7 linked regions of the Canis lupus familiaris genome follow. The protein of the gene in region 3 interacts with the protein of the main gene of each other region in a pairwise test. Links are inferred from orthologs where the notes say so. Each region holds a gene or a part of one and is shown on either strand. Other genes may lie near its edges. The genes, in order: PSME3, PRAM1, FXR2, NME1, FBP1, SCEL and MEAF6.

Evidence for each region.
Region 1: the proteins of FXR2 (region 3) and PSME3 interact in a two-hybrid assay, tested with the Homo sapiens proteins (2 studies listed by BioGRID and IntAct). The link is inferred for Canis lupus familiaris from reciprocal best matches to the Homo sapiens genes FXR2 and PSME3.
Region 2: the proteins of FXR2 (region 3) and PRAM1 interact in binary tests that used the Homo sapiens proteins (3 or more experiments, as listed by UniProt). The two-hybrid records come from large-scale screens. The link is inferred for Canis lupus familiaris from reciprocal best matches to the Homo sapiens genes FXR2 and PRAM1.
Region 4: the proteins of FXR2 (region 3) and NME1 interact in binary tests that used the Homo sapiens proteins (3 or more experiments, as listed by UniProt). The link is inferred for Canis lupus familiaris from reciprocal best matches to the Homo sapiens genes FXR2 and NME1.
Region 5: the proteins of FXR2 (region 3) and FBP1 interact in binary tests that used the Homo sapiens proteins (3 or more experiments, as listed by UniProt). The two-hybrid records come from large-scale screens. The link is inferred for Canis lupus familiaris from reciprocal best matches to the Homo sapiens genes FXR2 and FBP1.
Region 6: the proteins of FXR2 (region 3) and SCEL interact in binary tests that used the Homo sapiens proteins (3 or more experiments, as listed by UniProt). The two-hybrid records come from large-scale screens. The link is inferred for Canis lupus familiaris from reciprocal best matches to the Homo sapiens genes FXR2 and SCEL.
Region 7: the proteins of FXR2 (region 3) and MEAF6 interact in binary tests that used the Homo sapiens proteins (3 or more experiments, as listed by UniProt). The two-hybrid records come from large-scale screens. The link is inferred for Canis lupus familiaris from reciprocal best matches to the Homo sapiens genes FXR2 and MEAF6.

What each region holds. Positions count from the first base shown.
Region 1 is NC_049230.1:20,061,942-20,066,499, forward strand, and holds the start of PSME3 (proteasome activator complex subunit 3), read right to left. Parts: upstream 2,860-4,558; 5' UTR 2,817-2,859; coding exon 2,742-2,816; intron 2,639-2,741; coding exon 2,606-2,638; intron 2,469-2,605; coding exon 2,406-2,468; intron 2,215-2,405; coding exon 2,110-2,214; intron 1,210-2,109; coding exon 1,161-1,209; intron 487-1,160; coding exon 374-486; intron 70-373; coding exon 1-69. UniProt on the Homo sapiens protein: Subunit of the 11S REG-gamma (also called PA28-gamma) proteasome regulator, a doughnut-shaped homoheptamer which associates with the proteasome. 11S REG-gamma activates the trypsin-like catalytic subunit of the proteasome but inhibits the chymotrypsin-like and postglutamyl-preferring (PGPH) subunits.
Region 2 is NC_049241.1:53,444,442-53,447,120, forward strand, and holds part of PRAM1 (PML-RARA-regulated adapter molecule 1), read right to left. Parts: coding exon 2,367-2,679; intron 2,288-2,366; coding exon 2,221-2,287; intron 2,148-2,220; coding exon 2,071-2,147; intron 1-2,070. UniProt on the Homo sapiens protein: May be involved in myeloid differentiation. May be involved in integrin signaling in neutrophils. Binds to PtdIns(4)P.
Region 3 is NC_049226.1:32,726,801-32,731,154, forward strand, and holds the start of FXR2 (fragile X mental retardation syndrome-related protein 2), read right to left. Parts: upstream 2,916-4,354; 5' UTR 1,306-2,915; coding exon 1,171-1,305; intron 857-1,170; coding exon 804-856; intron 449-803; coding exon 355-448; intron 1-354. UniProt on the Homo sapiens protein: mRNA-binding protein that acts as a regulator of mRNAs translation and/or stability, and which is required for adult hippocampal neurogenesis. Specifically binds to AU-rich elements (AREs) in the 3'-UTR of target mRNAs.
Region 4 is NC_049230.1:26,940,777-26,945,366, forward strand, and holds the start of NME1 (nucleoside diphosphate kinase A), read left to right. Parts: upstream 1-1,704; coding exon 1,705-1,830; exon of another isoform or gene 1,831-1,863; intron 1,864-4,590. UniProt on the Homo sapiens protein: Major role in the synthesis of nucleoside triphosphates other than ATP. The ATP gamma phosphate is transferred to the NDP beta phosphate via a ping-pong mechanism, using a phosphorylated active-site intermediate.
Region 5 is NC_049222.1:72,706,650-72,710,542, reverse strand, and holds part of FBP1 (fructose-1,6-bisphosphatase 1), read right to left. Parts: intron 1,956-3,893; coding exon 1,818-1,955; intron 755-1,817; coding exon 635-754; intron 1-634. UniProt on the Homo sapiens protein: Catalyzes the hydrolysis of fructose 1,6-bisphosphate to fructose 6-phosphate in the presence of divalent cations, acting as a rate-limiting enzyme in gluconeogenesis. Plays a role in regulating glucose sensing and insulin secretion of pancreatic beta-cells.
Region 6 is NC_049243.1:31,254,520-31,258,412, reverse strand, and holds part of SCEL (sciellin), read right to left. Parts: intron 907-3,893; coding exon 798-906; intron 1-797. UniProt on the Homo sapiens protein: May function in the assembly or regulation of proteins in the cornified envelope. The LIM domain may be involved in homotypic or heterotypic associations and may function to localize sciellin to the cornified envelope.
Region 7 is NC_049236.1:5,019,916-5,023,808, forward strand, and holds part of MEAF6 (chromatin modification-related protein MEAF6), read left to right. Parts: intron 1-3,044; coding exon 3,045-3,132; intron 3,133-3,287; coding exon 3,288-3,333; intron 3,334-3,893.

The sequences.
Region 1 (4,558 bases), on a different chromosome or scaffold from region 3:
CTGAATGGACACCCCGAAGTTGTTCCCATCTTCTATCCTGGGAATCAGAAGCTGTACCCACATTTTGACCTGAAGGGTGAGAGGACCAATATATATACATATATATGGATATATATAGACATATATATATATATAGAAACACACACACACACACACACACACACACATATATGAAGACCCTCGCTTTTTCTGCTGAAGCCATGAAATATACAATCCTTGCTGCTGGGATCAGATGCCAGGAACATGGTAGCCAAGATACTTAATGTGCCAACTCCTCTATCACCTCCATGCCTCCTGCCCCACAACCAATATTTTTCATAATTCAAGCCAGGCTTTTTGGGGTCAGCCCTTAAGTCACTAGCCCCTGCCTCACCGTGTTGCATTTCTCAATCAGCAGCCGGATCTCAGGTTTCACTTTCTCAATAATGTCCACTAGCTGCTGGTTGCTTTTTAGCATCCCATTGGGCATCACGAACACCTTGGTTCCTGGCAGGGACATGAAGAAGGTCAAATGATTGAGGGATTGGGGGACAGGACATAATACCCCCACCTTCCTTGTTTCCCAGACCCATGAGATGCTATGATCTCTGCTTTTTATCTAAAATGAGTGTCTAAAGTGCCGAAGTCAAGGGATCCTTGGGTGGCTCAGCGGTTTAGCGCCTGCCTTTGGCCCAGGGTATGATCCTAGGGTCCCGGGATTGAGTCCTGCATCGGGCTCCCTGCACGGAGCCTGCTTCTCCCTCTGTCTATGTCTCTGCCTCTCTGCCTCTCTCTCTCTCATGAATAAATAAAATCCTTAAAAAAAAAAAAAGTGCCAAAATCTGAATAAGGAAAGAATAGGAAATTAAAATATGCTCTAAAGATTTAATGCACCAACTATTACTGAAAAAGAGAAAATAACTAGAACTTCTGTGGAAAATCTAAGATGTGTAGCCACCTCAAACCTCTCCCCCTTGACAGTCCACACTAAGTCAACCGCTCCCTATTTATTGGGAAATTAGGTTTGGGGTGCTAAATAATAACCATGTTTGTAGAACTTTGGAATGTTAACGCTGGAAAATAAAATTCGGTCTTGTTTTCTGATCAGAGACTGCCAGATCAATCCTCCTGCTCAGGGTTGCAAGCCAGGGAGTAGGTGGGCGGGGGAGACTGGCTCTTACCTTGGAAGGCCTCTTCACATTCATCCAACCTTCGCTTCTTGTAAGTGGGCTAAGGATACAGAGATAGGAATTAGTCTGCTCTTGACACCCATATTCCCATCACAAGTTACCCTTCAAGCAAGTCTAATCTCTTTGGCCCCATAGGCTGTTTTCATTTATGCACAATTTACTAAGCACATATAAGACTTTAAAAAAGATTCTTGCCACAAAGCAAGTTACAATCTAGTTGGGAAGACCAGCCTTCAAATGACACATTAAGCAACTGGGGGAGAGGGGTGGATACTATAAGCAACAGGAAAAATGAACCATTCAAAGCACAGTGAGTATACTAAAGGGAATATGTACAAATCTTCAACTTCCACAAAGAAGTACAATATTCAATCAACAAACATGTACTTAGCACCTACTATGTACCAAGTACAGTGCTAGGTGCTAGGGATACAAAGATGATTAATAGTTTCTGTTTTCCAGAATTGCAAGCTCTATCAAGGACACAGTAATTCAGACAATACAGTGTTAACACTGTTATTATGAAATGTGGACATGTAACTGGCAAGCACGGGGTTCTAAATATATGTCACATAGACAGAGACTACAGTTATATAGCAAGCACTACTCATCCTCTAACAATACTCAAGACATTGAAAAAGGTAAGAAATATCTTGTTTAGAGCCACAGGGACAGACCAGATAACTTGAGGAAACCTGTAGCTACTAGTCCTATTAGGAACTCACTGTAGGACAAAGTAACATTACATTACACACTTCATGCTATAAATGAAAACCAGGGTCTCAAAGTGGTATACTGGAATCATCAGGTCTATAAGAGCCCTTGTTCCTAGATCCTAATCCACTGTCTCCTCCGTATGTGTTTAAATTGACTAGGAAGTAAAGAACAGAGACTAGAGAACTATTGCTTCAGAATACAAAGAAAAATACAGGACACTCACACCGTCCAGTCCATCGTGGCTATTGGTGAGAAGAATAGGATCAGGGACTGGGAGATTCATGTCTGAGTGGATCTGAGTTAGGTCATGGATGTTTAGGATTGGTTCCTGAAAGAGAGACGCCCACCCCCAAAACAACATCAGTCTTTTCAAAATGAACAAAGAAGTATTTTATTTGAAGGGCAAGAAATGAGAGCATTTTACTGTACAAAACAAAATAGAATCAACACATGATTTCTCCCATTTGACAGAAAGACCAGAGCCAAAAAAACGGGAATTTGAAGAAAAGAGTCTCTCACCTTCAAAAAGCTATCAAGTTCTAACAACTTCTTTGGGAAGAAATTTGCCACCAAGTCTTCTGCCTAAAAATGAAGGAAAATACAGCTCAATTAATAATTGTGGGAAGGTCTCTCTCTACAGATCTCTTCTTTGGGAAATTCCCAACTATCAACCAACGCTTATTTATTTTATTTTATTTTATTTTTTTTATTGCACTCACCTCACTTGTGATCCGCTCCCTGAAAGAATCAACCTAAAATTAACAAAGAGAGCAATTCAGTAACAGCAAGTCAGTACCTGGCAACAGAGGTTAAGGGCAGGACGGGAAAACCCAAATCCAGCCGTACTCCCCTCACCTTGTAATTGTAATGAGAAGCTGAGAGACCCCCAGACTGTAAATACTTTATTTTTTTGAGGATCCATTTCTCCATCTCAGGAGAGGGAAGTGGGGTTTGAGGGTAGCACCCGCCTGCTTTCCCTCCCACCCTCCCTCCTTGTGTCTGAAGCTGTCTGGATTTGAGAGCAAACGAAAGTCAGGTAGACAGGGGGCATGTGAGCTCACAAACGTGCCAAGCCCCCATCCAGACCTAGCCTTTGATACCAGGGAGGCCTGACGCCAAGGGTAGGGGTAGAACAGCGGTAGCATCCGGAGGCGGGGACGTTGCTGGACTGGGGACTTCCAGCTGTCACTGGCCTAAAGTGTTGAGTCCACCACGTGTCCGCGGAGGTCTCCTCGGGGATCTCCACCACCAGATGCGGTTCACAAGGCCACCCCATATTATCCTCTCCCCTGATGCCGTCTCCGGGAGTGGGGGGCTGGGCTGAGCTGAGCGGAAGCTCAGAGCTGGTGTCCCCAGGGAGACAAAGACGCCATGGGGAGTGGGGAGCCGGTCAGACTGCTCGGGAATCGAAGCGGGGGGTAAGGAGGCCCAGACCGGTGCCGCTACCTTGAGCTTCACTTCCTGATCCACCTTCAGCAACGAGGCCATGGCCGGGCCGGGCCGTGTCCGCTCCACTGGAGACCAGAGGCGCTGTGGGCTCCGGGGAGGGGGTCAGAGGGACGGGAAGAATCTCGGCTGTTCTAGGGACGCGACCGCCCTCGCTGGCTCACTCACTGCTCGCTCGCTCCCTCCCTCCGAGCCGTCCGCCCGCCCGCCTGCTGCCTGCTGCCTGCTCACTCTCTCGCTCGCCCTCCCGGCTTTCGCCGCTCACGCCGGAAGTTACATCACAGCCAATCGCCGGGACTCCGGAGAGGCGCACGTGCCCTGCGCAGCCGCGCTGGGGTCCAGCCCTGGACGTCCGAGACCGGACTCCTAGCAGCCGGCATCCAATGCCGGGTAAGGGCGAAGTAGGAGGGAGAGCAGCCGAGGGTGGTTTGCTTAAAACTGAGCATTAGAGAGACTCCAGGACTGTTGGACATTCTGTTAGCTCGGCGCTCGCCCTCATCACAGGGACCTTCTGAACCGCTGCCGCCTCGAGGACAGGACGGACAGCGCCGTCGCGCCCCAGTGACGTCGGCCCGAGGAAGCCGGCGGCCCCGGCGCTGGGCTCGGGGGTTCTACTCTGTGATTCTTGCTGCCTCCTCCCGTCGGCCGAAGCTCTAGTGTTAGGCTAGAGTCAAACAGAAGTCAAGCTCTGTTGTCCCAGGCTTCTCCACCTTCCTCCGTCACTTAGCCTCATACAGTTCGAGACCTCAGAGATCAGCTGCCTGATGGGCAGATTGACAACCGGAGCGCGGCATTGCTTGTCCAAGCCCACACAGTTTCCAGACCCAGATCTCCCGACTTTCAGGACAATGCCGTTATCTATTTTCCTAATAGGAGGCAGAGACCGTACCTCTTCACTCGCTCATTCATCCGGTCTCTCTTAACATTGGTTCTTTCGCTCAGTGAAATGGAGGCAGGACGCTGTACTAGGCCCTGGGATGGCGTTGTCCCAGAGCCGAGAAATACACGAGTTCCTTATAGAAGTAAAAATCATCTAGTAGCCACATTAAAAAGTAAAACAGGTGAAAATAATTTTAATCCTAGATTTAACCCAGTTTATCCAGACATCATTTCAACATGTAACCAATATAAACCTACGAATGAGATCTTATACATTCTCTTCTCGTGCCAAGTCTTCGAAATCCAGTATGAATTTTACACTTAACTGTACATCTCAATTCAGAGGT
Region 2 (2,679 bases), on a different chromosome or scaffold from region 3:
TTGTCCTAGGATTTAGGTAAAAAATAAGGCAAAGGCATTTCCTAGAGCAAATGAAGTGGGTGTCTGAGAAGGGGCTGATGGGGTGGGGTTCATGGACTGGCCTGGCTGCTGCTGGGACTATTGTGAGGGGTCTCCCCCCGTGAGTGCGGACTTCTGGCAACCTGCCAGCATTCCACGTAGGAGCCTGCTGGCCCTGGGGTTTGGCTTACGAGAGCCTCATGAATACCAGTTGAGTGAAGGATCTAGAACCTGAAGCCTGAAGCCTCTGGCTTTTTGCTCCAGACTCCAGCCACATCCTGGTGCTCAGATGATGATGCCATCTCCAGTTTCATCCAGGATATTCCCTCCAACTGCTCCTGCTTCTCCCAGAGGCACCCCAGGACCCCTATAACCCACCACGGGGTAGAGCATGCCCCTGTGCACTGTGGCACAGGACAGACCTGGCACACCTGCAGCCCAAATTTCTGGCAGTGTGACCCTAATCAGGCACATAGGTAAGGGAGGTTCTAAGGGTGACCTATTGAGATCTGAGAAAGAGCTACGTGTGCTGGCCCCAGCCCCTTCCAGGAGAGCTCCCAGCTGTGGAAGGAACCTCTGGGGTCGGGCTGCTACCATTCCCAAGTAGGGCAGAGTGGGAGGTTGGACTAGAAGAGTACAAAGTAGCCTTTGGGACAGCGTATTACCAGTGAGGACCCACATAGTATTTCAAGAAGGGAGAGATTTGAGAAGTGTATTTTGTTGGAGTCTTGCAGAATGACTGGCATGGAATGGGGAGATGATTTTCCACTGGCAGGGACAGTGAGCAGAAGTCGGGATGTTCTTGGTCTGTTTGGGGATTGGGGAAGAGTGGGGGGGGGCATACCTTCAAGGCTGCTGGAAGCTAACTGCCTCTTTCCCCACGTCCCTCTCCAAGACTGGCCCCCCAGACCCCAGCCACAAGAGCCTCAGTAGAGCGGAAGCAGGAGGAGCCTTGTCAGGAAGCTCTACTAAGACAGTTTTGTAAGCAGCCCCTGAGGAAAGCCCAGGAGAAGCAGAAGGGGCTTGGGAAAGAGTAGTACAGGCAGCAGACTTGGTGTTGGGGCTGAGCGGGGCGGGGGTGGGGTGGGGGGGGTGGGGGGAGGCGCGGAGCATCCCAAAGGCACCACCCTTAATAAAAGGTTGCCCTGTAGGAAGCCCTTCCAAAGATAGGGCAGGGAAGTCTTGAGAGCACAGGGCCTGGGCTCCTGTCTGCCGGCTGTGTGAACTGGGGCAAGTTGCTTCTGGGGTTCTCAGGCTTCCACCTCTGTAAAAGGGCATGCTGTTGCCTTGGGGGTGGGGGGTGGCTGTACATGTTCAGTGATGTTCACATACAGGGCTTGCATGAAAGTCACTCCCCCCCCCCCCCCCCCCAAAAAAAAATGGTGAAAGCATTAACCTATAGCAGGGCTGGAGACGGGTCTGCTTTGCCATTATCCTGCTCTCTGGGAGCAGAGACTTGGAAGAAGGGAGAAAGAAAGGTCCTCAGGAACCTGAGCACAGAGTGTCTAGGACTGCAGGCTCAGGGTCTCCGTCTACAGCCCATGCCTCAGTTGAGGCCCAAGTCCTGCCTGGACATCCAGCAAGCGCCTCCAGTGCAACAAGTCTACTATGGAACCTGACACCTTGTCCCCGACTCAGGGATACCTCCTCTCTGCACCCAAGTGTCAAGCTTGACTTGGGCCTCATCCGTGTCATGGGCTCACTTGCTCCCTCTCGCCCCTGCATCACATGCCACCAAATCCTCTTTCTGATTCTTCCACTGCTCTGTAATGCCGCCTGCCACCACCCTGGGCCACACCCCTGCCGTGGCCACAGTACGTTCACTGGTGTTGGCCTCTGGGCTGCCCTACCTCTACTGTTGTGTCAGGAGCTGGCATGGCCTTTCTAAAAGGCCCTTCCTGCCCTCCACTTTCTCCCCTGGCACTGCCAGGGAGACGGACTGTCCCTCAGATTTGCCGCAACAGCATGGAAGAATGTGCCCTTGCAATGAATGGTCCCCGGGTGCCTGGGCAGGATGCTCTGGCTGAGGGCTCAGCCCCACCACCAACAAACCTCTGCCCATGGGACTGGGGCTGGAGTTGTCCGTGGGCTCCACGTCGTCATACAGCTCATAGGCCTCGTCCGGGTCCCTGTAGGAACCTGAGATGAGGGCCTCTTTCAGCCTTAAACCTGCGCCAGGACCCACTAACTCCCCACACTCACTGCAGGATGTCTTGAGTCTGTCGGGCTTGGAGGTGGATCCCAGCAGAAGAACGGGTCCTCCTCAGAGCTGTGGAAGGAGGAGAGCGGGAGGGAGGCAGGCCCTGCCTTTACCTTCCCAGCTTTTTGCGGAGGCTGCTGTGACCTACCTGTGGCTGCGGCTGCGGCTCTTCGGAAGCTCTGGACATCCCTGGGGCCAGGGGGCAGTGGGGGCTTGGCTGGGGGGGGGCCTAGGCTGTTTACTGGGGGCAGAGGCCTCCGCCGGGGTGGGTGGCCAGGCTGGAGGCCCAGCCTCGAGCCTCCACTGTGAGAGCGAGCTCCTGATCTCTGCTCCCTGGCTCCAAAGCCAGGGCTGAATGGGAGCCTGGGGCGGGAGCCCGCCACAGCAGCGGGGAGTGAGCTCTCTGAGACGGAGCCAGGGAGTGGGGGCTTTTTAGGGAGATCACCAAAGAACTCCGTGTG
Region 3 (4,354 bases):
CACGAACGAAAAAAAATTAAAAAATGAAAACATCATGAACGCAACTTTCAGACCCTGGGAAGCACATTATACCACAACAAAGGAGACACGAGGAAGGAGCTAATTAAAAGCCCAGAGGGTGCTGTCACCATAACGGGAAAGTAACTCCCCTGAAACTGGGAAGCTCCCTGAGTTTGATCACAACAGGGAAAGGGAGCTGGTGCACTTCTCTCTTCCACAGCCTACTGGGCTGGGTTTCAGAGGGAGGAGAGTGAACCAACCAGAGGAGAGCCTGGGATACTGGTCTCAGGGCAAGGGAGACCACAGAATCCTGGAAAAAGTGACATTTAGAAGGGGTGGAGCCCTGGCTCTTACCTCCACCTCGTCCCCCTCCGTGATCTCTTTATTATAGTCAGCTGGAGGTGGGAGCCGGACATCCCCAAAAGGAATCTGTCTCTCGCTCTGCCAGCTGCAAGGGAAACCGTGACATGAAAGCTATTTGGGATCATGTTGCTATTTCTTCAGGAAGGGGTTACTGCCTCTGCTGGGCAGTTCCCACCTTCTCTGGTGATTAGAGGCTAAATTCTAAGCCCTGCTCCACTGTATCTTCTGTCTCCTGCTAGAATCCAAATACTAGGTCAACCGTTTCCCCCCCCACACACACACATTTCAGCCCATTCCTCTCCTGGGGTCTATATAAGTTGACCACCCACACCCCTGGCTCTCCCCCACCTATTACATGCCTCATAGGACTCAGCCGCCCCCTCTTCTCCACTCTCCTTCTAGGACCTAGTATGCTGGATTCTCTATTCCCAAGGTCTTACTTGTTTTCAAAGAAGATGGTGACAGAGTCTTCATGGACATCCTTCACAAAGCCCTAGAATGGATTTTAGAACAAAGTGAAAAGAAAAGAAAAGAAAAGAAAAGAAAGAAAAGAAAAGAAAAGAAAAGAAAAGAAAAGAAAAGAAAAGAAAAGAAAAGAAAAGAAAAGAAAAGAAAAGGAAGGGAAGGGAAGGGAAGGGAAGGGAAAAAAGAAAGAGAGAAAGAAAGAAAGAAAGAAAGAAAGAAAGAAAGAAAGAAAGAAAGAAAGAAAGAAAACGACAATTTACTACCATCAAGGGAAAAGAGACGGTTACCTAGAGTTTTAGATAGAGACACAAGAAATTTAAAGATAGGACCAGAAAAACTTACCTGTACTGGGGACTGGGGCAAGAATATGAAGTTGAGGCAGGGACAAAAGAAATGACACTGACATGGAAAGACAACTGGCAAAATCCACAAATAAGATGAGACAAATGACACAGAAGGGGAAAACATCACCTGCATAAGAACAGCCTGGAGACTGATGGGTCTACTATAATTCCCACAGGGGCCTCCCTATCTATCTGCCTCCTGTTGTGCTGAGCAACTTGCCAGAGTTCAATTAAAATACCAACAATACTCAGCAAGGCTAAGAATATCCCATGAGACAGTGTGAGGCTGTCCTGGAACACCTAGAGGACATCAGGATCTGCCAAGAGAGAAAAGGGTATAGCTCCCCAACGCAGCAAGAGACCTGAGCAAACTCGGTGCCTTCGTGCCTGGGTCCTAAGTGAATTCTTGGAACACTGTTGAAGTTCAAAAGGATGAACACAATTTATAGAAGGAGAAATCAGGACTTAGGATATGTGAGATTTCTGAATGCTAGACTATGACACGCTGCTACGAATCTGAAAAGGGTAAGACCCCCACACCCCAAATTGAGACCATGACTTGGGAGAGGAACAGGGATGACTGAATAGCTGGTCCACTTCCTACTATCTCAACAAAGACAGGCAAGCTCTATGTTCAATCCTATGCTCCCAATTTTTCTACCTTCTCTAATTTTCACATATTCAAAATTAGGGATTGTTGTTTTTGAAAGTCCAATTTATCAATTTGCTCTTTTCTAACTGAGCTTTTGGTTTCCTGAGAAAATTTTGCTCAATCCAACACCCAAAGCTTTCACCTATTTCTTCTACAAGTTTTGTAGGTTTTTTTTTCTTTTTTTCTAAAAAAGATTTATTTATTCATGAGAGAGAGAGAGGCAGAAACACAGGCAGAGGGAGAAGCAGGCTCCATGCAAAGAGCCCGATGCGGGACTTGAACCGGGGAATCTGGGATCATCCCCGGAGCCAAAGAAAGGCAGGCGCTCAACCGCTGAGCCACTCAGGCGTCCTAAGTTTTGTAGTTTTTATTTTACATTTAGATCTATGATCTGCTCTGAGTTAAACTTTGTACATGGTGCAAGATATGCAGAGTTCATTTTTTACCCGTGGACAGTCCGGTTGAGCACTATTTGTTGAAAAGACTACCCTTTCTCGACTGAATTGCCTTTTTGCTTTTGTCAAAAATCAGGGAAGTGCAAATTAACATATTACCAACAGACAGAAAGCAGATTGGTGGTTGAAAGAACTGGGAGTGATGGAAATATCTTGATTGTGGTAATGGTTTGACACGTATCTATATAGATATGTAGACTGGTATCTAAGTCAAAACCTCTCAGTTTATACTTCGAACATATGCACTTCAATATTTATTCCTCAATAAAACTGTTAACAAAGAACTAGGGGTTGGCGCGCCTGGGTGGCTCAATGGGTTGAGTGTCTGTCCCTTGATTTTGGCTCAGGTCATGGTCTTGGGGTGGTAGGCTCGAGCCGGGCTTTAGGCACCACACTTAACGGGGAGTCTGCAGTAAGTCTGTTTGAAATTCTCTCTGCCCTTCCCTGCCTCAAATAAATAAATCTTTTTAAAAAAATTTAGGGATTTCAAAAAGTCTAACACACAAGAACCATTCCTGAACTCTGCAGCTATGCGTAACAGCTGAGCTTAGGAGAGAAAACACCGAAAATGCACACTTCTATCATTACCACCTCAATGAACTGGTTGAACGTAAACATTTACTATACTGCTGTTTCCTTACGGTGGGAAAACCAAAACTCAGATTTCATTCTTTGATACCAGCTGGCCATCCTTCTCTTCTTTTGGGATCAGATCTTGTTGCGGCGCCTCACTATGCAGAGCTTTACTACTGCCCAAGGCATCTGGTCCTCCTGGTGCCTGCCCTTCTGCTCAGCTGTGCTTTCGTTTTCTCTGCCATTCCCCATGTTTTCTCCACTCTTTGTACAGCTCCACCTATACCCAAGCTTGCTATTCCACACACGAGTCTTCTGAGGCATTTTCACTCCTCACTGTTTGCCTGAGTCCTTCTTCCCCCTTGGGTTCTCAGCTCCTTGAGCATCCTCCACCCTCCCCTCCTAACAGCATCACTTTCCTTTTCTTTTCTCCCTCTGTGAGGGTCTGTGTGGATTTCTAGAAACATTTTACCTAGCTCCTTCTGTCTTTATCCAATTCTTTTTTTTTCTTTATCCAATTCTTTATCCAAAATGTCTGTCCCTAAACTTGAAAAATAGTTTAAGAGAGGATTAGCTCTTCTCAAAACATTTTAGGGATGAGATAAAAAGCATGGAGGAGATAGAAGAGAATCACTTGTCTGCCTCCTTTAAGAAGAGATTCCCGCTCCTAGATATACTTCTTCGCAAAGGATATTCCCATGGTTCTAATCCCATTCTCCCCCAACATGTTAGGGTTAGCCCTCAGGGAGAGGTAGCACTACCACCCTGTTTTTCCTAGCTACCACTATCTGTCCCCAAGGCAGAAATAGCTCAGAATGGAGTTTCCCCTCACATTACTCAGCAGTTCAACCAAACACCACACAATCTTAAACTTCTAGGGTCTTTTTCCTTCAAATACTCACCAGAACAAGTTTTCTTCCCAAACTCATGTTAACTTCACCCACATCATCCATTTTTTTCCTCCAAAGATACCAGTGGTAGAAAGTGAGAGATAAGCAGGTGAGAGCAGGAGCAGGTGAATCAATCTCTAGAAAGCCAACTAGATCCAAAGAATGACTCAATTCAGTGGCTGCAGCATATCCCGGCTTTGGCTTAAAGGGCTTAGGACCAGAAAGAGGAAGAGTACCCAAGCGTTCTAGATACTTGTTTCCTTAAATAAGATAGAAAATTATTCCCCACCTCTACCCTATCTTCTAGTCCTGGACTCTCAAAAGAAAGGAGGGGGTTCTGGGAGAAAAACAGGAGGGGTCTGGATAAAAACCACAGCTTGAAGCTGGGGATGCTGTATTCCTTAAGACAGGAAGAGGAATGTGGACATCCAGGCAAGGTCTGGAACGTTGGCTGATTGTGCCCTGAAAGGTGAACAGATATTTCATGAGGAGAGTACAACCTAGAGACTAAAACACTTTTAGGTACCGGAGAAAATGAAGAGTTGGTGGGATAGCTACAGGATAACTTATATTCCAGATCTGACATGTGCAGTGCTATCGTGGAAGATGATC
Region 4 (4,590 bases), on a different chromosome or scaffold from region 3:
GGCGGGTGCTAAACCGCTGAGCCACCCGGGGATCCCCCTTAAGACCTTTTCTTTGATCTTACCGAATGCGAGATCATGTGGCTAGGTACCAGGGACAGACGCAGGAGCAAACCATCCCCGTATACAGGCCGCAGACCCGTGTGTGTGTGTGTGTGTGTGTGTGTGTGTGTGTGTGGGCGGGGGGGGGAGAAACACAAACTAAAGATAATATATATGTATTTTTAAAGATTTTACTTACTCATGAGAGACATACAGAAAGGCAGAGACCTAGGCAGAGGGAGAAGCAGGCTCCTTGTGGGGAGCCCGATTGGGGACTCTGATCTCAGGACCCCGGAAACAAGACCTGAGCTAAAGGCTCAACCACTGAACCACCCAGGCCTTCCAGAAATTAAAATATATTAAGCTGTCATAATAAGAGGTTAACTAACCTACAGGAAGATAGAGCCAGGAGGTGGTGTGGCTGTCCTCATTAGGGATTGACCTTCAAGGTCAGGGGCCTCCTCCTTCCCTTCTTGTGAAGGCAGAGCAAGTCTTGAGCCCAGTCTTCTCTGTAAAAGGCAAGATACGAGATTGACATTCTCTAGGCAGACTCGTTCCTGCGTGATGTCCCAGCTCAGATACTACTAATGGCTCTAGTTCTTCCACCATCCACCTTTCTCTGGTGTGTCTTATGATGTAGCATAAATTGTATCCAAAAAAAAAAAAATAAAAAAAAAAAAAAAAAATAAATTGTATCCAGTTGGGAAATCCAGATTTTTTGGCCCTCATTTTGGTGCTCTAGATTTGTTTTCTTGTTTGCAAAATGAGGGGGATTGTAATGAAATAATCTCCAAAACCCCTCCCAGTTCTAATACCATGACTGTGGCAGTGGGTTAGACTGTATTTCATTCTGCCTTGGACCTGACACCACTTTATCACTGTAGTTTCTTATCTGGATAAATCAGAAGGACAGTATCTTTTCTTTTCTTTTTGTTTTAAACATCCACTACCTTAGTTATGCCACAGTACAGGTTAATAGAAGCTTTTAAGTCAAATGGGATAGAAAAAATAGCCCCTGCTTTTGGACCCTTGCCCACCCTGGGATATTAGTTCAGGAATAAGGGGACTGAGAAGGAATTGGGGGGTTTGTGTTTGCTTAGGGAAAAATTTTTTCCCCCCTTAGGAACATTTTTTACACACAGGCTACTCCAGAGTTTTGTCCGTATAGCACCTTGTAATGAATACATTCGTACACTGCAATAGCACACTATTCTTTTTTCTAAGATTTTGTTAATTTATTTTAGAGAACATGCGAGCATGAGCAGGGAGGAGCAGAGGGGGAGGGGAGAAAGAATCTGAAGCAGACTGCTCTCTGAGGCTCTCAGTGTGAGGCTCAGTCCCCTGACCCTGAGATCATGACCCAGGCTGAAATCAAGAGTTGGACACTCAATCGACTGAGCTGCCCTCATACCCCTTTAGCACACTGTTCTTATTGGTATATACGACTAGCACTGTAGGAACATTGTGTATACATATATCTTTAAAGTTGTCTTAAAAGTAGCACAGCGTGGTGAGCACACTAGGCATTGGGTTTTTACCTGAGAGACTTGGAGTTGGCATGACAGATTTAAACCAGCTTTATGGGGTAATCGGCTTGCGATGGATAATGATGTAGGCAGGATATTCCGTGCCGTTTCATCCTCCCAGCTGTTTATCCTCAGGACCATGGCCAACAGTGAACGCACCTTCATTGCCATCAAGCCTGATGGAGTCCAGCGCAGCCTTGTGGGAGAGATCATCAAGCGTTTCGAGCAAAAGGGATTCCGCCTCATTGCTATGAAATTAATCCAGGTAAGTGGACTTCACTCTTCATATTTCTGTTTTCTTGGAGTACAAGGGATCATTGTAGGTTAGCCTCCCTGTTCTCGCCTCCCCTCCTCTTTAGCCTTCTTCATGTAGGGTGAACACAAGCATCCTGAAAGCTGGAAACTCACTGGTGGCTAGCACTGTGGCTGAGTCCTACCACAAACCCAGTTTCTGGGACTTCTGGGAATAGCCTCCCCCTTTCCTTTAGCAGTGCGGAGTTCCACATATTACTACTGCAGCACTGTGATTTCTTCTTTCTTTCCTTTATTTTTAAGCAATCTCCACAGCAAATGTGGGGCTCGAACTCAACTCTGAGATCAAGGCTCCACTGACTGAGCCAGCCAGGCGCCCCTGCCCCTGCCCTTTTTCAAAGATTTTATTTATCCATGAGAGACATAGAGGCAGAGGCAGAGGGAGAAGCAGGTTCCTTGCAGGGAGCCAAATACTGGACTTGATCCCAGGACCCCAGGATCATGACCTGAGCCAGAAGCAACCGCTCAACTGCTGAGCCACCCAGGCGTCCCCCTTTCTTTCCTAAATTTTTATTTTATTTTATTTTTTTCTTCAGATTTTTATTTAAATTCTAGTTAGGTAACATACATGCAATTTTGGTTTCAGGAGAACACTGTGATTTCTGACTCAGAGCCCTGGGCGTGTTTGAGCACCCAGTCTTGAGCTTCCTGAGCAGATAATTTCAGAGAAATTCCCCCTCCTCCATTCCTCTCTTTGAGTCAGGCAGGTTGATTGTCAGCAAGGAGATTTTTCCATCCTTATTTACCACCCACTTCGTGTCTAGCATATTAGGCACCATTAGGGCATGTTGTGGGAAAGCTGTGGTTTTGTCCTTTGGAAGGCCCACTTGAAAACAGCAGAGAGGGCAGCCCCCGTGGCGCAGCGGTTTAGCGCCGCCTGCAGCCCAGGGCGTGATCCTGGAGACCCTGGATCGAGTCCCACGTCAGGCTCCCTGCATGGAGCCTGCTTCTCCCTCTGCTTCTCCCTCTCCCTCTGCCTGTGTCTCTGCCTCTCTCTCTCTCTCTCTCTGCATCTCTATGAATAAATAAGTAAAAAATCTTTAAAAAAAAAAAAGAAAACAGCAGAGAGAAATGGCACTTGCAAGAAACCTACAAAGCAGTATTTCAAAAAATGAAAAGGAGGGGGCACCTGAGTGGCACAGTCTCTTAAGCGTCAGACACTTGGGTTCGGCTTAGGTATCTCAGGGTCATGAGACTGAGTCCCATGTCAGGCTGCCCACAGCAAGGAGGCTGCTTGAGATTGTCTCTCCCTCTGCTCCTCTTGCTCATTTCTCGCTCTCTCTCTCTCTCGCTCTCTCTCTCAAATAAATAAATCTTTAAGAAAAATTTTTTAAAACCTCGCAACCCCCCCACCCCCAAAATGAAAAGGATTAATTAGTCAAGAATCCTTTTTCAGACAGACCTGGGAAATGAGAATTCAGATTCTCAAAGCCTATAAATTAGAGAATGGTCTTTTTTTCCTATTTATAGAGTCATCTTTTTTTTAATTTTAATTTTTTAAGATTTTATTCATTTGAGAGAGAGAGAGAAAGAGAGTGAGCAAGAGCAGGGGGTGGGGAGTTGGAGATACTCAGATTCCCCGCTGAGCAGGGGCTTGATCCCAGGACCCTAGAATCATGACCTGAGCTGAGCAGATGCTTCACTGACTGAGCCCCCCAGGTGCCCCAGTAGAGTCATCTTTGGAGTCTGCTAGTGTATTTTAAGTTTAGTTTGATTTGCAATTTAGTTCCTGTGTGATGTTTTAGGAAAACTGCTTTAGTATAAAATGGAGTAGATGGATGTTGATGCAGGGGGGTACATCATGGAATGATTAGTGCCAGGTGTTAGACAAGTATGGCTTTCCAGAGAGTTTGTATATTAAATTAGGTTTTGAAGGCAAAGTGAAATTTTTTTTTTTAATATTTTATTTATTCACGGCCTGAGCCGAAGGCAGACGCTCGACCACTAAGCCACCCAAGAGTCCCGGCAAAGTGAAATTAGAAAGTATTGTTGATTGGGCATTTACCGTGTGCTAGACATGTGTTTTTTCTGGCTCGCATGACAACCCAGAGACGTACTTATTTCTATGCCTATGGTTGTCAGTTATGAGGAACCTGGGGCTTGGAGAGGTTAAGTAATGTATCTGAAGGCACATAGTGATGGAACATGGATTTTAACTCTGGTCTCTCTGACCCCTAAGTGCATGCATTTTTTTCCACTACACTCAGTTTCCTATCAAGGATATGGGCTTGATGAAGATGGACAGCTGCCAGGAGCCTACAGAGTTGTTTATATCTGACATGGAGAAGGGTGGAGAGGGGAAACTTGATGTCCCCCCTCTGAAAAAAACCCTGTAATCTGTTCTGCAGATTAAAGATAACCAGAACCAATTAGTAGAATTAAAACAGTGTTCGGGGAAGGGAAGGTCAAGTCAGTGTGTGTCAGGAGACTGCCCCTAGTAGTCTTCCAGGGGGATTGGAGGGGATGGGAGAGGAATTGCTAACACGGCTGGTCATGTGGCTGTGTCATTTTACTTTGGCAAGTAACAATCAACAAGAGGCTGAATGGTAGGATGATTTGGATGTGCTTTCTGGCAGCAGATCTGCCCATGTGTGGGTCTCCCTGCAGTGTGCAGTACTATAGAACTGGAAAAACTGAGTCCTTGTTAGACCCTGAACAGGCCCTGTGCGCAGTGGCAAAGAACACAGCCGAGGTAGTCGGAATTGCCAAGCAG
Region 5 (3,893 bases), on a different chromosome or scaffold from region 3:
TAGGCTGTCCCTTAGCCAGTGTAAGCAGCACAGCCCACCCCCACCCCATGGCTTCAGGGCAGTGCGGGCATTAGAGCAGTACAGTCGATGGTAATAGTTACCTGAAAGTTCTAGGTTTCCCCAGAGACTCTTTCCTTCTCTGGGAAGGTACCATTTTCCAAGCAGCCAACATCAGTTCATTAATTATTTCTATGTTATGCCTTTTGAAAGCAATCAAAGGAAACCTCTATAGGATACATATTTGATTTTCTACCTTGGTAATGAAGCTGAACTGTTTCATTTCACATTATGAATGGCCTTCATTTTGCCCAGGCCAAACCAGACACCCACTGGAAGCATCCGTCCTGACCATAACACTATTTACTTATCTTTAGCAATGGGGGGGCTCTCAAGAAACCATTTTAAGCCGATATCACCTGGCTTTAAGTAGGACATCCTTCAATCTAGGAAAGAATATGCCACAGACATCCCCAGCCTCCTACCACAGAGTGTAGCAGCAATATAATTAATATGTCATATTAATTATATTATATAATATAAGGCTGCTATAATCTCTCTTTCTTCCTAAATCAAATCCTTTGGGCTCCAAATGGAATCCACTGATTTTCAACTACTGTTCAGGAGATTCGTTTACCTTTCCCTTGGGGCTCTTCTTGTTCGCTGGGTACAGGAAGATCCCTCCATAGACCAGGGTGCGGTGGACATCAGCCACCATGGAGCCCACGTACCTGGCCCCATAAGGGGCTGTGTTATCCTGCAAGGGAAAGACCAACAGTAATCAGGGTTGTCCTCTATACTCATCCAGTTCAACAATCATTTAATGAGCACCTACAAGGGGCGTGTTTGGGGATGTGGCTAGGAAACCTGATGAATATCCTGTCTCCCAGGAGCAGAAAAGTCAGCCTCTTACACATCTTATAATAGGATCAAATGACCTGCAGAAGCCCCGAGGAGGGTGTGGTTGATTTTGGCTATGGGACTGGGACAGGAATCACAGAATCATACCTTTTAGCAGGACCTTGCAGGCTGAGAAGGATTTTGCCAAGCCAAGGAGCTGGGCAAGGGAGATGGGGCTGGGGGGGGGGGTGGGCAGTATAGGGTGGGGACTGTCCAAGCAAAGCCCAGCATCCCAGAGAAGCAGATGCTGGTTCCCTGAGGCCCAGGGAGGAACCTGGTACACAGCATGTGTGCAGGGTTCAGGGGGTGGGAAGGGAATGTAGGGTAGGGTGGAAGGAGAGATAATAAACCTGGAAAGAGACCCTGGGGCCAGCTCTGTGGCCCTGAATGTCATACTAACAATATCTGGGCTTCCTCCTTATAACACAACAGCTTTCAATGGCGTTGAGGTAAGAGATGACAATATTGGATATTCCTACATAGAACCATTTCTTCTCGTATTTGATGATTTTAACCTCTTCAGAAGGGTACCAGGAAGGACACTCTTAGCCTTGAGATGGCTGCCAGCAACCCAGTGGCCGCCCCGGGCAGGCACCCAGGTAAGAGGACCACGCTCCGTGCCCCTGACATCAGGGACCACAGAGGGAAACGTTTTACTGCCCATGAACTCATTCATCTGGCTGACTTGATCATCCGGATTTTCTTCTGCCAAGAGACAGTAGCAGAGGCTGACACGGCCCTGGGACTTTGACATCCAAGCGCAGGAGTCCCGGTCGCCAGTACAGATGGGACCTTCCGCATGGGGTCAGCGCTCTGTGGAATCCCAGCCCCGGCCACCCCCGCCGCCTGGAGCCTCCAGGGTGAGGCATGAACCAACATATGGGTGCGTCACCGGGGGCCCTGGCCAGGCCCTCACTCACCGGGGGGAACTTCTTCCTCTGGATGTACTCGGTGACGGCGGGCTCGAACTCCCTGGCATAGCCCTCGTTGAGGCTGTAGATGTTCCCTTTCTTCTTGATTTTCACATCCCTGTCCACCAAAATGAACTCTCCAATGGCCTGGGAGACAGGAAGGAGAGGGAGAGAGCGTGAGCCGCGTCCCCCAGGCCTGTGTGAGGTCCCTGGGACACTGTGTCCCCCGCCTGCCCCTCCGGGACTGGTGAACGGGACCACGGGAGCACCGGAGAGTCGGAGAGTCAGCGGGAGGAAAGAAAACAGGAGAGAAGAGCTGCCGCCCCGGTTGTCAGGGGAGCCAGGCAAGGCGCTTGGCTTTCAAATGGTTTCAGCGAAACAAGGAGGAAACCATACAAAAGTAGTGAGGGCAGAAATGCACAAAACAGCAGCAAAACCTGACGGAGAATAAGAATTGTGAGTCCATGCATATGTGGAGTTTAAGAAACAAACACTCAAAGGAAAAAGAGAGACAGAGTGACCAAGGACCAGAGTCTCAGGTATAGAGGATGAGCTGCTGGTTTGGGGGGGTGGGGTGCAATGGGGATTAAAGAGCACATTTATCATGATGAAAAAGTAATAATAATAATAACACAAAATAACAAAAAATAAATAGCAGTGTCCCCAGGGGTTGGGGGAAGGGAAATGTGTGTTCAAAGCAATATACAACTTTGCCTCTCCAAGAAAATCTGTTGGCGCAGCCAGGAGGTGGGGTACAGGAGAGGTGGGCACCAAGTCCCAGGGCGTGCTCAGTGCGCTCTCAGCTTCCACTTCTGCCCTGGCGCTCCCTTTTTGTGCGCTGCCACAGAAAAGAAGAGAATCCTGAGTCCTGACTGACAGCATTTACGACATCAAGTGCCTTTGCTTGCTGATCTGGACAACATTTCTCAGAACTGCTGCCACTAAGTCCAGCAAGTCCCAGTGTTGAGTCGATGCCCTTAGGGCCAATGTGCTTTAGGGGAGACTGGAATTCGGAGAGGAAGCGTCACCTCACTCCTATTGCTGTGAACAGAGGATAGTTTGGGGGTCCTAGTGTCCTGAGAAGAGGGTGATTGAAGCTCTGCCCTTGCGGGGAGGGGGCTGCTCCCTGGAGGCAAGACATAAGAAGAAAAGAGGCAGTACAGCCATCTACCCCCATCGCAGAGAGTGGCTCCTGCAGGTAAGGAATGTGTTTGCCCTAGAAAGGAAAGAAGACAGGGAGGGATGGAAGGAGGACTAGGAGAGCAGGAAGGAGGATGCAGATGGGAAAGGAGAAAAAGACACTAGAATTAACCATGCTTATTGGAAGGTTTCATGTGAGTGGTTCTTCTTTTTATCTTTTATGTTTTTTTTTTTTATTTCCAAAAATTTGGACCACAATTCTGTAGAAACATCCTTTAAAAATCAGAAAACTAACTAAATAAATAAATACTTTTACAAACAAGGTCTTGAAAACCAAGCCACCACACAATGGGTGCTGCAGAGCTCACAAAGCCACGCTTCCCCGACGCCCTGCCCTGGTACCTGGCCAGAACATCCCAGACATGAAGGAGGAGTCTCCTCCAAGTATAGACAAGAAACTGAAAGCCTTCTGAAAGGTAAAGCCAGCTGGAGATGCACATAGAGCTGTCTCAGTCTTTTTAGCAGAAATCATCAGCCAAAATGAAAAGAAAGCGCTGAGGGGGTCCAAGGTTCAGCCCGCAGGCAGGGGTGAGCTGTAGGTTAATGAGATGGTGTCCCCAGCAGGAGAGTATCACAGCAGGCCTGCACTGTTCTGAACACTGGCGGGCCATTAGCTCAGGGAGGTGAAAGCCTATCAAATACACAGAAACTAACTCCTGGGGACATGGGTCTAAGACCTGGAAACAAGAAGAGATTTTATTTTTTCTACACGTCCACCAACTCAAAGGTAACAGAGAAGTCACTGGAAGACTGTCTGGGGAAGCAGTAAATCTCTGGCAGAGCAGTACATTTGCAAACTTCAGTGGTTCCAGAAACTGCACACTAAGCTCAGGGCGAACTTTGCTCTGGTTCTGCCACTATTTTCCCCTGAGGTCGCCTCATTGG
Region 6 (3,893 bases), on a different chromosome or scaffold from region 3:
TGGGCCAGTCCTAAGCATTCTATTTTTCTCCTAATTGCCCCCAGATGATTATAATGTACAGCCAGAGTTGAGAACTACTTGTCTAGTCAGCTACCTCATTTCACAAATAAGGAAATGGAAGCCAAGCTAATTAGTTGATTTTCCAAAATGACAGCCAAAGTTAGTGGAAGTTAGAATTTGTACTCAGGCCCTCAGATTCCCTATTCAGTGCTCATCCAGTTACCCCAACAACTGTCAGGTTGACCTACTCAATATTAGGGCGAGAAGTAAAAGAAATGATGTAGGACCAGAAATTGAGGAGTTCCACTATGTAAGCTTATTTTTATTATACTCAGCTACAATTATTTATAACTAATCATATTCTCAAAAGTTTCAGTAGTTTCAACTATCATTAAGCCTATCAGTCCAAATTTCATGCTTCATGTAAAAAGCTGCTAGCTTTCTTAACAATTTCTCTTCTTGGATTTCATTGTTTTTATGCAATGCATGATTTATTAAAATGTTGCAAAAACTTATAAAGAGAACAAGTGTTTATATTCTTACAGATTTAAATCTCTAGGGTAAGAGTAATAAATGTGTCAGTAATCAACTCTAAGCCTAAAGCCAAGATAGTAATTATAAACCTTTGAGGTTTAGGCTGCAGAACTCTGAGAAATATTTAAGTAATACATTATTAATATGGATGAGAGTGTTTCTGAAAGCTTTAACTTCACCTCCTGTATTTCATTAAATAATTATTTTTATTCCAGTCATTATGCAATTTTATATTTAGTTAACTGCAATAAACATATCCTTACCTTGAAGCAAGTGGAATGGCAGCAAATTTGTAATTCATCTAAAATCATTTTAGTTTCTGTACCCAAAGGTTTCCGGCAATAAGTACACATATCTCTTTCAATGACAGACCTACAGAGACATAGCAATTACAAATAAATTTGTCATCATGCAAGAGACAGATGTATTCCCCATAAAGTCATGTGGAAATGATATGTTAATTTTGTTGATACTTTAGGAAATTGTGTGAAAATCATGAAAAGTTTGGGACTTACTTATTCTAGTGACAGAATTGATTCTTTTAGTTACCTCAAAATACTATCAAAGAATTAATATGAAGGAAAGTCTCAGATTATTAATTCATTAGCAATGAAGAGTGCATCTGGTCAGGGTAAAGATGCTCATAGTTCCCTAATTGAACTAGGTCATGAGTACCCCTTGAAGCTAGAAGAGGGTTTTGAATTATTAATTTGCATATATCATAGAAAAATTATACTGTCAATCAGTATAAAATCTTAACTCTCAAAACATTCAATAGGACAAAAATACAAATCCATTCAAAAGCATTTTGGTAAATTCACAAATGATGGGTCTGTGGTACCCTAGACTCTAGGGTCTAGAGTCCCCAAAATGCTCCTCTATAACAAATCTCCTGGTATCATTTTAAGACTCAGAATACAGGGCTAGCTTTCATGACAGAATTTATGTTCTCCAAGAAGATACAACCTCTCCACAAATTTGATGAGGAAAAGAGAGTTTTGTTATCTATTTTGGAAAAATAACATTCAATGACAAACGAACCACAGATAAGATCAGCAAGTCCAAAAGACCTCAGGTCACACAGCACCTTATGAAATGCCAACAGCTCCGTGATTCTTTTCCTTTGGGAAGGTACCAGGACTGCCTTAAATAGCACCTTGCAAAGCTTACTAGTTTCAGGGCGTTAGCAGACAGGCCTGAAATTTCCACAGTAGGGTACACAAGTGTAAAATAAAAATAATCAATACTTATATAGTGCTAATATGCTTCCTACAGGCAGTGTGCTTTCCATGCACTTAGCTTGCATAAATTCATTTACTTTTCAAAATATGTCTGAGAAGCAGGTCCTGTTATTTTCACATCATTTCACAGAAGAAGAAACTGAGGCATGGAAGGGCAAGAAATTTGCTTCTGTCATGCGGCCAGTTGAGTGGCAGCAGGATTTGAACAAAGGTAATGTGGCCCTAGAGTCCTGTGCTGCCTCAAGGCCTGCCCATGAAGACCACTAGGCTCATCATATGAAAGTGAATTAGTTGTGCCCAGAGCCTTGATCCTATGATCAAGCCCAGGACTAGAAGCAGAGAGGAGGGAAAATGAATGAAAGGAGGAGGTAGGAGAGGAGACTTAAGAAGATGAAACTTGTCTGATTTTATAATTTCAGTTATTCTAGTCCTTATATAGATCAATAAATAGTTTCCTCTTTCAATTATCTCTAAAGGTCCTTCCTTATATATTCCTGGTCAATAGTTTCTTTTTTTTAATAGTTTCTTATGGATAATTCGTATATATACATACATAGGTGCCCACACACTTAAATTTTCTATGTAAGACCGTGAGCACTTCAAGAGTACAAAGCAGGCACTCTCTATTCTACTTCCATTCCAGAGGCACTGGGGGAGGAGCTGGGAATACAAAGAGTGAGACAGTCTCCTTGCCATGAGGGTAGCCAAGTGTATGATTCGATGATCACAGCTTATTACAGATACATGGAGAGAATTAGGAGAGCATGGCCAACGAAGCAACTATTCCCTGGGGTGGAGTCAAGAAGGCCTTGTTGGAAAAAGTGCCACATGAGTGAAAGTTTGAGGACAGAGGGGCTCAGTGAGGTGCAGAGGAGCATGGTAGAGGAATTCCAAGCAGAGCAAACAGAATGTACCAAAGAGGGTATCTGGAGTGATTAAACATCAGTCAATATTCAGCAGGAACAAATTCTAAAGGCCCATAAATAATTGTGCAGAGGAATTAGTCTTTATCCTGGTAAAGTGGGAACCACTTTATATGGGATTGAAATGCTTAGATAAGACCTCTGGGGACGTAGCTTATTTCACATATTAATCAACAAGAAAAGTTGCTTGGCAGACTGGTCCTACAGACGATTGACTTTTGCTCTGATGACTAAGAAAAAGTTCAAGAGCCACTTTAGTAACAGAATTGAAATTCTTCATATTAAGAGCAATACTTATGTGAAGAATGTTTTTCCTTCCTTAAGTTAACAGTAACAATATGAGCCCAGGGAAAGCTTTGATGTTGGTGTTGTCCTTATTAAGATCATACTGTTAATGAAAGACCTTTTTCAAAGGATTATGGGGGAAAAAAGCTGCCTTTTTTGTTAGTTTGTTTTTAGTTACCTAGACAGTATTTGTAGTTCTAATGCTTGTGTAAATGACTTTATTCCTCAAAGAAGTGTGACATAAAGGCAAGATACTCAGAGGATCACTGGTACTACAAGATCTTATAAAAGTCACAGAAAGAGGATATAATTTTGATGCCTGGCCCATCCATGTTTTTTCTTAGCAAATAGAGCATTAGCTTATTTTTTTCCAAAAACATTTACTGAGTATCTGTTAGGTGTAAAACACAGCATTACAAGCTGAAGCTGTGCTTAAAAATAAGATAGGCCCTTACCCTCAAGAAGTCATATTTCCAGCCTCTGCTATAAAGAAACACCATCAATAGAATGTTGTGCATTTGCATTACAGTTGGCTTCCAGTGGTTGGTTTGAAATGCTAATTACTTTCATTTTGTCCACTGGAAATCTGCAGGATGTATTCTCATGAGCATCACCTATGTGCCCCACTGAACATTAAATGGTAAAGAAGGATCACCAACAGCAAAAGCCTGGTGTTAGTTTACCAGAATTAACTTGATATGCATTGTAACCCCTGTCTTGAGAACTGAGTATGGGCCCAGGGTGGGTCATAGCAGCATATCCATGCAGCTGTTTGCAAGGTGAGCTGACTCTGGAAAACCACAAGGAGGGAGGATTGAGGGCACAGTCAAATGATGCAGTGAAGCCTAGACACTAAAAATGTGACATTAATAGTGACTCCTGGGAATCAGCAGAGGGGCTGATCTGGTAG
Region 7 (3,893 bases), on a different chromosome or scaffold from region 3:
ATCACTTTTTTAGTGTTTCCCTTTTTTTTTTTTTTAATCAGTCATGAGTTTCACCTTTACAGTATTTGCCACCCCTGTGTGCTGACCATATTACAATTTAGTGATAACTATTTAGAACTGTCTAAACGTTTTAAACATCTTCAGGTTTGACATTGAAATAGTACTGTGCACACTTGATGCCCGTGACCTGCTTTCATCAGTTGTTAACATGTTGCCACATTTGCTTTCTCTCTAATGTATATAAACATACACATATTTATACTTTTTTTTTAAAGATTTTATTTATTTATTCATGAGAGACACAGGCAGAGGGAGAAGCAGGCTCCTTGCAGGGAGCCTGACATGGGACTCGATCCCGAGACCCTGGGGTCATGCCGTGGGCCGAAGGCAGGTGCTCAACCACTGAGCCACCCAGGGATCCCCACATACCCATATCTATACTTAAAATTTTTAGAGGCACCTGTGTGGCTCAGTCAGTTAAGCATCTGGCTCTTGATTTCAGCTCAGGTCATGATCTCAGGGTCATGGGATCAAGCACCATGTCAGGCTCCATGCTGAGCATAGAACCTGCTTAAGATTCTCTTTCTTTCTCTCTCTCCACCCCTCCCCCTCCTCTCTCTCTGTCTTAAAAAAGAAAAAAAGTCAAAAATTTTTGATGTCATTACAGATACATGGGAAGTTGCAGCAATATTACAGAGGTCCCGTGTACCCTTCACCTAGTCTTTCCCGATGGTTGGGCTTTATGTAACTGTAGTAGAATATCAAATCCAGGAAACTGACATTGGTACAATGTGTATGTGTGTGTGTAATTGTCACTGCCGTGTAGACTCCTGCGTGCACCACCTGCGTGCACCACTGCAATCAAGATACAGAAGTATTTCATCACCACAAAGATCTCCCACCTGCTACCCCTTTATAGTTATATCATCCCTTTCCTCCATACTTTTTTTTGTTAACCATTTAAGCAGATAGCACGACACTTTGCTATCTAATTATGTCAGCATTTACCTCCTAAGAATATTTTCTTTTCTTTTTTTTTTTTTTAAGATTTTATTTATTTATTCATGAGAGATACATAGAGAGAGGCAGACACAGGCAGAGGGAGAAGCAGGCTCCATGCAGGGAGCCTGACATGGGACCCGATCCCGGGCCTCCAGGATCACGCCCTGGACCCAAGGCAGGCGCCAAACTGCTGAGCCACCCAGGCTGCCCTTTTTTTTTTTTCTTTTTTTGAAGAAGAATATTTTCTTACCTAACCACAATTAATGCATATAGAAAATTGCATTACATTAATAGTATCATCTACTATAGTCTTTATTCAAATTCCCCTAATTGTCCCCGACATGCTTTGCTACCTTGTTTTGATCCCTTCAGTGTTCATGTATCAATATTTGGCTATTATGTCTCTCTTGTCTCTTCATTTAAGAGAGTTAAGAGAGTCCCCCACCCTTTTTGGCAGTAAAGTTGTTCGTGACACTGTCTTGCAGAATGTTCCAATTCCAGATTTTTCCTTTTGTGATGAGAGATCCTTTAAGGATTTTTGGCGAAAATATTGCATAAATGATTTGTATGCCTGGTGTGTTGTTTACCTCAATTTTATTGGGAGGCACATAGTGTCAGATTGTCCCATTATTGGTACAAAGATGGAGCATATGATTTCTCCGTTGTAAAAATTTATTTGTTCTCTGTAATTTATAGGTAGTTTGGGGGCTGTACTTTTAGGCAGTGTGAATATACCGCTTTTCCAAATTTTTATTCAGTGGTTTTAGTATCCATTGTTGATTTTTACCCGACTCATTTGATGTACTGTGGATTCTGATTTTACTCGTCCTGGTACATGGATCACTGGTATTCAGAAAGAAGAATCTTCCCTTCATATCTTCTCGCCCTTTCGTTCTGTATCTCTGGCCTTCTCTCTTTAGTATCACTAGAGACCAATGGATTTTTTTTTTTTTTAAGATTTTTATTTATTTGACAGAGAGAGAGGGAGAGGGAGTGCGCACAACAGGGGCAGTGGCAGGCAGAGGGAGAGGGAGAAGCAGGCTTCCCACTGAGCAGAGAGCCCCCCAGGCCCCTGGGATCACAACCTGAGCTGAAAGCAGACATGTAACCGACTGAGCCACCCAGGTGCCCCAGGACCAGTGATTAAAAAAAAAAAAAAATCAGTGTGTGGGAATCTAGTACCGTTACTTTTTTATTGTGGAGGTTTATTTTTTGCTATAAACTTACTGAAATACATGCAGAGAAGCACATACGTCATAAACATACAGTTTGATGACTTTTCACGAAGCAAACACACCCATCATTATCCTTTCCAGTGCTTGATTTGTCCCAAATATGGCCAGAGGAAGCCTCCTTTGTCCTGCTGATGTGACCCTATTAGACTCTGTTAGTCTTCAGGCATTTTGCTGCTTTCTGTCCTAGCAGGGTCTCTTAGCCTCACCTTGCCCTTTTCTTATCCCAGAACTGAGACCAGCCATTTCCTTAAGGAACCCTGGCTTGTTCTTTAAATTTTTTTTAAGTTTTTTTTTCCCTATTCACGAGAGACACAGAGAGGCAGAGACAGGCAGAGGGAGAAGCAGGCTCCCTGCAGGGAGCCCGATGGGAACTCGATCCCAGGACCCTGGGATCACACCCTGAGCCAAAGGCAGATGCTCAACCCCTGAGCCACCCAGGCATCCCTCATTACATTTTTTACATTAAGCTTATCTGACAAAACCATTTCATATCACTAGTCTATGCTAGCCGTTTTTAATAATAAGTATCAAATACATATGAAAATGTTAATGACAGTGACCCAACTGAAGTAATGTCCCACAGTGGAGCACCCCCCTATGCGCTGGAAACCGTTGCTGTCTGGGTGGGCATTTAGCGTTAGGGTCCTGTCGGTCACTCCAGAAGGTGTGGAGGCATTTCTGTCTGAAAGCTCGTAACTTAAAAAAAAAAAAAAGACAGTGAGAGAGTTCCTTACTGTGCCCTGGGCCATCCTCAACTCGAGCCATAGATTCAGCTTGGTGCTTATGAGTTTCTTGTGTGTGTTTTAGAAACTCCAATAGCAAAAACGACCGAAGGAACCGGAAGTTTAAGGAAGCTGAGCGACTCTTCAGTAAATCCTCAGTTACTTCGGCAGCTGTAAGTGAAGTGGGGGGAATCTTTCTGTGGCCCATTGGGGAGAAACCCCTCAGTTAAATTTCTGCTAGTTCCCTTTCTCCCTGCTGTCCGGGGGCTCTCCGGAGGTCTGTGATAATTTTTCTAGTAACAGGTTTCTTCTTTTTTTTTTCTTTTAGGCAGTAAGTGCATTGGCAGGAGTTCAGGATCAGCTCATTGAAAAGAGTAAGTTTTTTTTTTTTTTTTAACTTCTTTATTATTTCATTTTTAGGTTTGTCTTTACCTCCTATCCGACTATGTCTCTGAAGACTACATCTCTTATACTCTTGCCTCTTTTTTCTAGAAGTTAGGGAAACCTTTAAGTCTCTTTAATCCTGTCTTTTTGTTGTTGTGGAGGAAGAAACCGTGTCCCTCTAGCCTCTTCTATCATGCAGAGGTTGACTGTAGCTATTCAAAGACACAGAGATATGTCTTTGCTGCTGATAAGTGTTAGGGAGTTTTTTTTGTTTTTTTTTTGTTTTTTTTTTTTTTTTTTAATTTCAGACATATCTGATAACTCTCCATGTCCCCACTTTAATAATTCTTAGGAAAATCTGATCCTGTGAACAGAATGTACCTATGTGTTCTTAAATATAAAACATAGGGTAGATAGTATTTACTTTGTAAAGAAATTGTATCATTCTATGTAAGCCATCCAGTCTAATTCTGTTCTAAGGTCTGGTGATGGAATACAGATCTGTGCATTTATCTTTCTGAGACTCTGGGTAGCTGTATTGGACACTCTT